Saccharomyces cerevisiae S288C: one gene and its partners. The gene in region 1 interacts genetically with each later gene. Each region holds a gene or a part of one and is shown on either strand. Other genes may lie near its edges. The genes, in order: ATG42, IOC4 and FPR4.

Region 1 (4,065 bases):
TGAGGTATTTGCTCAAAGTCAACCCTATTTGTGTATTCAGGTTCTATACGCTGACTAGAAAGGAATTCAGGAGGTTATCAACCCTAGAACAATCATCTGAAGCGGTTGCTGTCTCTTTTGAATTGATTGGGATGCTTGTTACACACAGTGAGTTTAATTACCTAGAGGAATTTAATGATGAAATGGTCGAACTTTTAAAAAAGAGAGGCTTGTCAGTTGTGAAGCCTCTGGATATTTTTGATCAGGAACATATAGAAAAGTTAAAAGGAGAGGGTGAACATCAAGTGGCAATTTATGAGAGAAAAAGATTAGCAACAATGATACTGGCAAGAATGTCGTGCTCCTAATTTTAAATTAGAGTATTGCAGTGATTATATACGTTTTTCCTTATAATTATATTTTGTTTTATATTTGTTGGATTGTAGATTTTAAATTAAATGAAACGTAGAGATTTGTGTAAAGTATAATGATTGCAAGGTTAAGAGTGAAACATTTTTAGAGCACTACTAACTAGCATTTTCCAAGGTGGAAAGATCCGAAAAAGCACGATTACCGGAAATCCAACTGTTGACCATTTCCAAACTTGCCTCCGGTTGATCATAGGGCACCATATGACCGGCATCGTATATTCTCAAAAAGGTGAAAGGGCCATAGTTCTTGACTTGTCCCAACTCTTCACCTGTTTCTTTACTGACCCATGGTCTTAACATCCTTCTCTGATACCTACGTTTATTGATCCATTCCAACTCATTGGACCAAGCATGGTTTCCCAGCCAATTACAAATATAATCCTTATCACCCGCATATATTAATACCGGAATGTTGTGATTTAATAATTCAGCAATATATTGTTGAAATGGTTTACTTCCATCGCCCGTAAACAAAAATCCGGTGAACACGTCATTATCACAGCCAGAATAATTATGCACGTCGGACCCTAGCGTTTCTTGAACTTCAGGAAAATTCATATACTGGTCGACATAGCGGAGACCTGTATAACACATACCATCAGTACTATTATCTTCACAGGGCCCTCTAATGTCATAGACGTTGAGTCCTGTGTTAATGTACGGTTCCAAAAGTGCAGAGTCACAGTAAGCAGTGGCGACTATGCATGGTAAACTTGATTTAGAAGCATAACATAACTTGTTCAACCTACGACAACGACCTGCAGCTTTACTCATTTTCTCACATTCTTCTGATGAGAGAACAGGGTGATAGCCCCCTTTCCCGCATGCCATTGGTTCATAATAATCTGCTTGAATCAAAGGGTCTGTGATACCATTACCAATCATAACTGAAGTTAAATTGAACGTTCTTTCAGGGTTCTTGACAACGATCTCATGTGCAATTTGAGGGATATAATGTCCTGCATAGGATTCGCCTGCAATGTGGAAATCGTTGGAGCGTAAATGAGGAAAAGCTTCAAAAAACAATTCCAGGAAAATGTACGCATCTTTGCCTGCTAATTTTGTAGAGGAGACTTTTTCATCACCATAGGAAAAGCCGACTCCGAGTGGCTGTTCTAAGAAGATCATTGAAGCGTTATTATTCCAAGAATAGGGATTGTGGATTGGTTTCATATCGGCGCCAATTGATGAGGGGCCTAGTTCAAATAGCAACCCAGTAAACGAGGAACAACCAGGTCCACCATTTAACCAAAGAATAATTGGGTCGTTAGCAGGATCGTTCCTACTTTCAAAAAACCAGTAAAAAAAGTGTTTGGAATCCTTATAGTCCATGTAACCCGACCATTGTTTTACGGTGTCAATTCCTAGTTTAGAAGGATCTACTGTTCTAAGTCTCAAACTGTAATCTGTGTCCACAGAAGAAATAAAAGTTGTAAACAGCGGATCATCGTGATTCAAACGGTCCAATTTAAGGGTTTGCTGTGTATTCTGTGGAAGCTTTAGCTGTTTATCCAAATTGGCAAAGGTGGTATCATCTTCAAAAAGAGAAAAGGCTCGGCCGAATGAGGCGTATTTGATGCTAATAAGAAGCTGAAGCACGAAAACTAAGTTTAGATACTTCATTGTATGTCGGTATCACTTTTTGTATAGCTGTTTTAAAGAAAAAATGCAGGATGACAATTTTCGTTCTTATATAACCCCTGTCCCCTGACATTTTTCGATAACGAAGCGTTATCTCACCTTTCGTAGAATGCTAGCGCCGCCTCGGCCATTTTTAGGAAATTTCCTAAATCGCTCACATTGTAAACAAGAACATCTTAGAGAACTCTAAGCACTTTTAGAAAAAAGGATTATACTAAACGAGTCAAAAACTATTTATCCAACAAGTCACAGATTGGAATAGTCTCGAAAACTTGATCCAACCACTAATTAAAAGGTTAAAATTAAAGGATGGAGAAAGATCAAATCCAGCCTAGGGTGTTGGAGTCAGTAGACACAAACTCATTATCCTTGCTTTCGTCCAATACCAGCTCAAATATGAATAGCAACACCAACAATAAACTCAGTATAATTGCCAGTGATATTTCTACAGGATCCGTACTTTCCAGGCCCTTGACTCCTCCAGTCGTCCAGGATATAGAGAATAACTCCATGTTACAATGGCAATTTGAAAAGAAGGAATTTATCTTCGATAGTAACAGCACTCCTTCGAAGCAGGCAAAACCATTGCAGAGAAATTCTCCATACCAAGGCAATAGTCAAAGTGAAAATCAGAACCAACAGTTATTGAATGTAAGAAAGCGTCGCTCACAATTGATAGGTGCCAAGCCTAAAATTCCATCCAAATTGTACCAATCTGTTTCCAAATTAGATCTAATTGATGACAAGAGCTTTACGTCTTTGCCAATTGCGCCTCCATGCAATATCGAAACTAATGAAGATGACAGTGGAAACAACGAATACAACAACAATAAAAAACGGCCCAGGTTGAATCCTGTAAATGAACTGCGAGTGCATAACAACAAACGTAATAGGTACGTCAGTTATGGGCCGAGTTTAGATACAAAAAACTACGAGCTAACAGAAAATACTTCTCAGGATATACCACCGCTAGTCCTGGTTGAAGACTACATACCGTATACCCAAAGTAAATCAACAAAAAAAATGGTATCTATTTCAGATTTGAAATCAAAACTAAGTAAAAGAAGAGATAATCATATCCCGCTGAGAGTAAAAAATTCATATTCTGAAATTAATAAGGAAACCAATAGAAATAGCTTTGAACCGAATTCACTAACACTGATACCCCATATATTAAGGAATACTGAAGAAAATAGGGACGAAAGTAACAACCCCTTAGATTTTATCAAAGAGGAAATTGAAATAAGTGATATTTCCATACCAAATTCCATTGAAAATATGGTGGTTAACTTGGTTAATATTCCATCTTCCAATAAAAGTTACGATGATCTTTATCTATCGGAATTAAATGTTCATTCCCAACTGAGGAAATGTGTCATCTGCGAAAAGGCCCTATATGAAATTAGCTCGAGACTTTTAAATTCAGGATACTATAAAGAAATTGTATGTGAGCAATGCACAGTTAGATATGAAGAAGCCGCTAAAATCTTTGAGAACTGCGAGTTCGAATCATCTATGGATGAATCAAATCTAAGCAGCGGTACTTTTAGTGATCTAGAGAATTCAGCAGAACCGTTTCATTTATCGACAGATGTTCCAAAAAAAATAAATAGGCACATAGAAGATAACAAGATCGACCTTAAAAAGGAAATATCAAAAAAAAAGGACAGCTTCTCTAAGGAACTAATAGAACGATTGCAGTTGCAATTGCTAGAAAATGATAAGTCAATCAAACATCATTTTAATAAAGATGCAATGGGCTCTAAATCAATGAATTGGTTTTTGGAAGCAAGAAGAAAATTGAAGTGGAAGTGGAGAATAAATGGTTTACTTCCGCATTTCTTACGCAATCAAAATAGTGATCGTTTAAATTTTCAACCTTGAAAATACATTGCTAAGAGATCACTAAAACAAACAGGACTGCATTGGTGCTGTGTATTTTTTCAAGGGCAAAACAATCAATATATATATGAAAAGCTTACGACTAAATAACAGTTATACTAGTAACGGGTAA
Region 2 (3,694 bases), on another chromosome or scaffold:
AAATTAGTGCAGAGCAATAAGAAGCGAAAATCAAAAAAAAGTTTTGGATCTGCAAGACTTGCTGTCACGCAACAATATTATAGCCACCCAGCAAAAATGTCAGACATCGAAGAAGGTACGCCTACTAATAATGGGCAACAGAAGGAGAGAAGAAAGATAGAAATTAAGTTCATCGAGAATAAAACAAGGCGCCATGTGACATTTTCCAAAAGGAAGCACGGTATCATGAAAAAGGCGTTTGAGCTTTCTGTTCTAACGGGGACCCAGGTCCTGTTGCTAGTCGTTTCAGAAACAGGTTTGGTATATACTTTCAGCACGCCGAAGTTTGAACCTATAGTCACGCAGCAGGAAGGTAGAAACCTGATCCAGGCCTGTCTTAACGCCCCTGATGATGAGGAAGAAGACGAGGAGGAAGACGGTGATGATGATGATGATGATGACGATGATGGTAATGATATGCAACGCCAGCAACCACAACAACAGCAACCGCAACAACAGCAACAAGTATTGAATGCACACGCAAATAGCTTAGGCCATCTAAATCAAGATCAGGTACCGGCAGGCGCGCTGAAACAAGAGGTGAAGTCACAATTGCTAGGCGGTGCCAATCCTAATCAAAACTCAATGATTCAACAGCAGCAACATCACACGCAGAATTCACAACCACAACAGCAACAGCAACAACAACCACAGCAGCAAATGTCACAGCAACAAATGTCACAGCATCCTCGACCACAGCAAGGAATACCACATCCGCAACAATCGCAGCCACAGCAACAGCAACAACAACAACAACAACTGCAACAGCAGCAACAGCAGCAACAACAACAACCCCTCACCGGCATTCATCAGCCTCACCAACAGGCTTTTGCCAACGCTGCCTCCCCCTATCTGAATGCTGAACAGAATGCTGCCTACCAACAATACTTTCAAGAACCGCAACAAGGCCAATACTAATCTTATCGATTTCCGTATATAATTCATAGACGAGCATTAAGAGGAAAAAGCTGTTTCCGTACCAATTAAAGAAAGATAGACAACAAGAACAAAAACGTACATTACTCTATATTGAAAAAAGCCCTATGTCGGTAAAAGAATAGGAAGTACCTTAGTCATCGGCACTTACCTTTTTTTTTACGATTACTTCTGGTTTGTTTCTTTGCCTCATTTCATTTTGCTGCCACTTTCTTTCATAGGCAAGAAGATTCAATCAAATCTCCCCTTCTCCTTCCCCGGATATATAAAATATAAATATAAAACTTTAAGAATATAAAAATATGAGAAACCACACATAACTTGTATACTTTACTCACATACACACATTTCCAAAAAAATTATAATGTTAATTACATTGCTTTTAATGCTAATCTTTTTTTAGTTGTATAATCATTACCATATAAATGCCTCTCGGTCTAATTTCATTGCCAGTATTGTAAGTTATATACTTTTATACGAGTGTACGGAAAATATCGTGGCTCCCCGTTAACAGTGAAATAAATCTACGCATGTAGCTGCCAGTTTTTTAAGCGTTATATCAATATTGGTAAAGTAAGAATTGACGAAGAAATTGTTAACTACATTTTTCAGAACGGCGTGTCATTCTCCGATAATGTCTGAAGCGATATTCCAGCCAACGGACATTGTCCTTGCCAAAGTTAAAGGCTTTTCAGCATGGCCAGCAATGATTATCCCTAATGAACTCATCCCAGATAACATCCTCAAGACCAAACCTGTGAGTGTCCACAAAGGCAAATCAGGTAGTGATAAAAAAGCAAATGAAGATATAGATGCAGACATGGAATCAGAGGCTAGAGATCGAGAGCAAAGCGAAGAAGAAGAAGATATAGAGGATTTTGGTGAGAGTGAGGCTAATCCTGAAAAATTTATAATATACACTCCCGTTCTGAAGTTTCGTAAAAATGATACGTTGAAATCGACTTACTGCGTCAAGTTTTTTTGCGATGATTCTTATATCTGGGTGAAGCCCATGGATATGAAGATTCTAACAAGCGAAGATTGTCGTAAGTGGCTAAGCGGCAAACAGCGGAAGAATAAGAAACTCATACCGGCATATGAAATGGCTATGAGAGGCAAAAATGGAATTGATATTTGGGAATTTGTGGAATATGGGTCTTACGGCAAGCCAGATGAAGAGGAATATGTAGAGGAAGAGGAAGAAGAGAACGAACCTGAAAAAAAGGCTATAAGGCCAACCAGGTCTTCCAGTAGACAGCGTCAGAAGCGCGCCTCAGAAACGGAAAAGAGTGAGGGCGGTAATAGCAATAAAAGGAAAAGAGTTACTAGATCGACTAGGCAACAAGCGATAGATGCTTCAGAAGAGGAAGAGGAGGAAGAGGAGGAAAAAGTACAAGAGGCTGTTAGAAAGAGGCCGCAAAGGACCAAAACTAAGAAAGTTGTAGTATCCAAGACTAAACCAAATCCAAAAACAAAGGCAAAGAAAGAGAAACCTAAACCACCTAAGCCAATCAAATATCATTTTGAAGATGATGAAGATTGGAGCATTGTTGGGTTGGGCCCACAAGATCTATCAATCGAAAAAACGATGGATCCGATTGCGAAAAAACTGTCGCAGAAGAAAAATCTAGAAAAGCATGTGGAGATTAAGCTAGATCTGGAGGATAAACTAGCAGGTATCAACAAGCTCCTGTGTGATGTCTTATGTTCAGCCATTAACCAGGCTGTTTCGATAAAGGATGATTTCGAAATAATATTAGATGAATTGCAGATTGCCCTTGACACCAGGGGGTCCAGAAACGAATTTATAACAATTTTCCAATCAAATAATTCCCTACTGTTAAACTTTAGGATATTATTTAACTTAAGAAAAAGGGAACTGAACAAATGGGATCTGTGGGATCGTTTCCAGGATATTTTCAAGCATATTTATTCCTACCAGTTCATACCTGATACGGAAGATTGGCAACTAGAGCAAAATATGGAAATTGAAGAAATGGATCGGGAAAAGCCGAGCTTTAGTGAAGACGTAAAGGAAGAAGAAAGCAAAGTAGGAGCATGACCTGTTGCTATTGCAGTTGATGTACTCTGCTTTTGAACAATAGAGGGGAAACCTGTGTACTATAAAATAGACTAAAACTATGTAACTTGTGTATGTTCTGATATGTATGACGCAGTCTTTGATAGTCCAAAACTCACCTAGACTGTGCTGTATTATTACAATTAAAGTTCTAAGTCTGTTGTGCATTATCATTTGAGAAATGGGGGAATGTTGAGATAATTGTTGGGATTCCATTGTTGATAAAGGCTATAATATTAGGTATACAGAATATACTAGAAGTTCTCCTCAAGGATATAGGAATCCTCAAAATGGAATCTATATTTCTACATACTAATATTACGATTATTCCTCATTCCGTTTTATATGTTTCATTATCCTATTACATTATCAATCCTTGCACTTCAGCTTCCTCTAACTTCGATGACAGCTTCTCATAACTTATGTCATCATCTTAACACCGTATATGATAATATATTGATAATATAACTATTAGTTGATAGACGATAGTGGATTTTTATTCCAACATACCACCCATAATGTAATAGATCTAATGAATCCATTTGTTTGTTAATAGTTTGAATGTTTTTATCGGAAGAGGTTTGGTCATTACGTCTGCAATATTCTTTTTGGTTTCGATATAGCATACGTGCAGATGAT
Region 3 (3,593 bases), on another chromosome or scaffold:
CTATAACTTGCTCGTACAAAATATTCCCTTTGGTACTCCACCTCTTCAAGATGTATCTGTGTGGTAGGTTCTTGAGGTGATTTAGAAAACGGCCTTCTGATATGTTTGACTAACCCTTGAATGCAACATCTTATTGTTCTCGATTAACTTTTGTCGCGCTGTTGAAAGGGATTCAACAAAACAATGCGCTCGTCTCTAACGATCAATGGTCTATTTATCGTGTAAGTATATATGACATAAACTTTACATATTACGAAGTCATTTTTAAAACTCGAGCTCCTTTTACTCAAAGCTTCTATATTTTACTTTGAGGTCTTCCGATAATTGTATTAGTACTCTCAGCCAATATATGCATCGACAAGTAGCTGGGCGGCTATATCACTAAATAGCTCGCAAAAAAATATTGCTTTTTTATGGCAGAAAAAAACATGTAAAATTGAAAGATAATATTAGTAATGGAAGTATAGATAATTGTATATAGTATTATAGATACATATATCAATACGTATGCATTAAGGACCCTATTTCATGGAGACCAATTTAACATCAAATGTCAATTCAGAGTTAGCAGGAATACCGGGCAAAGCTTGTTTACCGTAGGCATATGGAGCAGGAATGACAATTCTACGCTCACCACCGACCGCCATACCAGCAACACCGATGTCCCATCCTTTAATTACTTCGCCTTGGCCCAACTTAAAAACAAAAGGCTTACCCTTTGTATTCTTGTCAAAAACTTTCCCGTTCTTCAACTTACCAACATATCTCATTCCAACTCTGGTACCCTTTTTGGCATGTGGGCCTTTTCCTGTGACGCGGTCTTCAATGATAATACCGCCTTCCAGTAGCTTCGTCTTTGGCTTTGGTTTGCTCTCTTCCGAGTCTTTAACTTTCTCTGCTTTCTTGTCTTTCTTGGTCGTTTGTTTTTTCTCGGCAGGTTTAGCACTTTCTTCCTCATCTTCCTCATGTTTCCTTTTACTGTCCTTCTTGTTGTTTTTCTTCTTTTCGTCCTTTTTGACTAATTCATCAAGACGACTTTCGATGTCACTAGCATCTACTAAATCATCAAGATCGTCATCACCGGAACTTAGTTCCTCATCGTCCTCTTCTTCTTCTTCTTCTTCTTCTTCTCCATTGGAAGATTCTTCGTCACTGTAATAGTCTTCTTCATCTTCGTCTGAATCTGAAGAATTGTCGAATGGATGTTTGACGTAGTTACCGGTTAGAGAGATAGTGTATGAACCGGTAACGACGAATTGAACGTCTTCCTCTGGTGCAATGGTAATATCCAAAGCTTGTTGATATTGGCCTTTTGGAGATAAGGTTAAAAGAACGCATTCTTCGAATTCATCGTCGATTTCGTTTTCATCTTCAGAGTCTTCTGATTCACTTTGCTCGACTGCCTTACCTTTTTTTGATTTGACACTCCTTTTTGGTACATCTGCTTCTTGTTCACTTTCACTTTCATCCTCTTCGAGGCCGTCATTGTTATCTTGGTTGTAGTACTCACCGCGAGTGAGTTCAGGATTCCTTTTGATTATTCTTAAAGTAGATGGCTTTTTGTCATCGTCAAAGGGCTCAGGGTCGATGGCCGCCATTGTGATTCTAATGGTAACCGGAATTTTGAAGTTCAGAGCTGGGGTTGGGGAGTATGGTTCAACATTCAGGCTATACGTAGCCAATGGAAGCATATCAGACATGGTAGAGACGTATATTTTGTTGTCTTTTTCTTTTTTCTTATCATTCTAACATGAAAAGCACTTCTTTTAACACTGTAAAATTTTCAATGCCCTTCTCTTTTCGATGCACCAGCTAAAATTTTCACTGCCTCGGGTTTGAGATAAAAATATACATAGGGCATCGAAGGCAAGAAATTGAGAAATTTAACGTTCATATGGGTTAATGATTGTATGAGAATGTCTGACGAAGAATATTATTTTTGCTGAAGTTAAACTAAGAATTAGAATTATGACTTGATACACAATGCTACTTTCTTTTGGCCAAGCTATTTGATATAAAAGTATACGTAAATACAGAAAAAGGCAACAGTATGCAGGAAGTTATTCGTAGTTCTTTCGTCACTCGAAATAAAACGTACAACAGACTTAACTTTTACGCGTGTATTAAATATCAACGCACTAATCATACACCCCACTGAGGCAGGTTTAATCACAAAAATGTTGAGATTATTTGCCGCAGCAAACTTTAGCATCTGCACTGTAGTTGCTTCCCCAGCATCCACTTAGTATGGACAAATTGGGTTGTATGTTTACCTTTTACATATATAACATTATCGCTGGCAGGTTACAGAATTTATATGGTGGTTTTGAGAGAAGTTAACACATTGGGAGGACGACTCTGATTATACCTATTGCAATGGCTCGCTAGGACAGCATTTCCTCCACAGAGACTTTGCCTCAGTGCGGTTGGAGTAGACCATGCAGCTTCCAATGTAAATGAATAGATATAGCCTAGTGGCCCAGAACGGCGATGACCTGATCTTGAACCCTTAGATATTAATATTTATGATTTTTTGTATTTTGCTATGTAAGAGAAAAAAAAAATTATAGATACAAAAAGAAGGATATAGAAAAGCACAGATAATGTTGATAGGAAAAATGAATTAGAAGAGGATTAAACTTAGATTACATATCCACTTACCTTTCCGTTATTGTCAAACAGTATTTTCAGATCAACGCATTCTCTATCAATTCTCCTTGTTTTGAAATTCTATTTTAAATCATTTATAATTTTTTCAGTTCAATTTAGAATTTCAATAGGTGTGGCTTGTCACCGTTCTTCAAAGAGAAAGAAGCGGACAAATATTGCTTCAACAATGGGGTCTTCTTGATTTCAGCCAACAAAGCCTTGTCAACAACCTTTTGATCTTCAACACGTTCAGTCTTGATTTCCTTAGTTTGTTGTTCTGGGAACAAGTTAGCTTCCTTCTTTTCCTTCTTGGTCAATTTTTCCTTGGCAAAGTATTCAACGTTGAATTTTTCAACGTTGACACCTTCCACGGAGACTTTGGTAGAGGTAGCAATGACATAACGAGCGTTGACTCTTCTCAATGGAACACCATTGACCTTGAATGGACCAGTGACCAATAGAGTGTTGTCTTCTAGATGTTTCAAGTAGACAACTCTCTTACCTCTGAAACGGCCAGCTAGCAAGATCAAAACAGTGCCTGGAACTAGAGAGGCACGCAACTTTTGTGGGCGAACAGCCTTTCTGGTTTTCTTTGGGGCAGCAACGTCTTCGGAAGGATACCACTTTGGGGCCTATAATTGACATATCGTGATGTAAATCACATATATAGTTAGTATACTACTCGTTTACTTTTTTCTTGCACAATTGATGGTGGGCATGGCGTGTGCTGATTCAGCACAAGGTTTGGTACTATCCTCAAAAAAATTCTTAGCGTAGGAAGAAGTTTACTCAGATTAGCTATAATATGAGTTATTGTTACTATGTTTCTCAGTCATTTGATGCTATATTTTCATTTTTACTAAAATCGTTATTTTCATTTTGTCCAGTTTTGTCCAGTTCATATTTAAAAGGTTAGCTCCCTTCCTGCTTTTGTTCTTGGGTAA

What was found.
Region 2: mutations in ATG42 (region 1) and IOC4 together harm fitness more than expected from each alone (negative genetic interaction), as found in Saccharomyces cerevisiae (2 studies listed by BioGRID).
Region 3: mutations in ATG42 (region 1) and FPR4 together harm fitness more than expected from each alone (negative genetic interaction), as found in Saccharomyces cerevisiae (2 studies listed by BioGRID).

Annotation. Positions count from the first base shown.
Region 1 is NC_001134.8:513,632-517,696, reverse strand, and holds ATG42 (carboxypeptidase C), read right to left. Parts: upstream 2,034-4,065; coding exon 507-2,033; downstream 1-506. Other genes in the region: GTPase-activating protein IRA1, read left to right, coding at 1-347; YBR138C (uncharacterized protein), read left to right, coding at 2,361-3,935. UniProt on the Saccharomyces cerevisiae protein: Vacuolar serine-type carboxypeptidase involved in vacuolar zymogen activation, breakdown of the autophagic body, and autophagosome-dependent protein synthesis.
Region 2 is NC_001145.3:353,775-357,468, forward strand, and holds IOC4 (Ioc4p), read left to right. Parts: upstream 1-1,609; coding exon 1,610-3,037; downstream 3,038-3,694. Other genes in the region: transcription factor MCM1, read left to right, coding at 97-957. UniProt on the Saccharomyces cerevisiae protein: Functions as a component of the ISW1B complex, which acts in remodeling the chromatin by catalyzing an ATP-dependent alteration in the structure of nucleosomal DNA.
Region 3 is NC_001144.5:1,028,941-1,032,533, reverse strand, and holds FPR4 (peptidylprolyl isomerase FPR4), read right to left. Parts: upstream 1,701-3,593; coding exon 522-1,700; downstream 1-521. Other genes in the region: 60S ribosomal protein eL6 RPL6B, read right to left, coding at 2,766-3,281. UniProt on the Saccharomyces cerevisiae protein: PPIase that acts as a histone chaperone. Histone proline isomerase that increases the rate of cis-trans isomerization at 'Pro-17' (H3P16), 'Pro-31' (H3P30) and 'Pro-39 (H3P38) on the histone H3 N-terminal tail.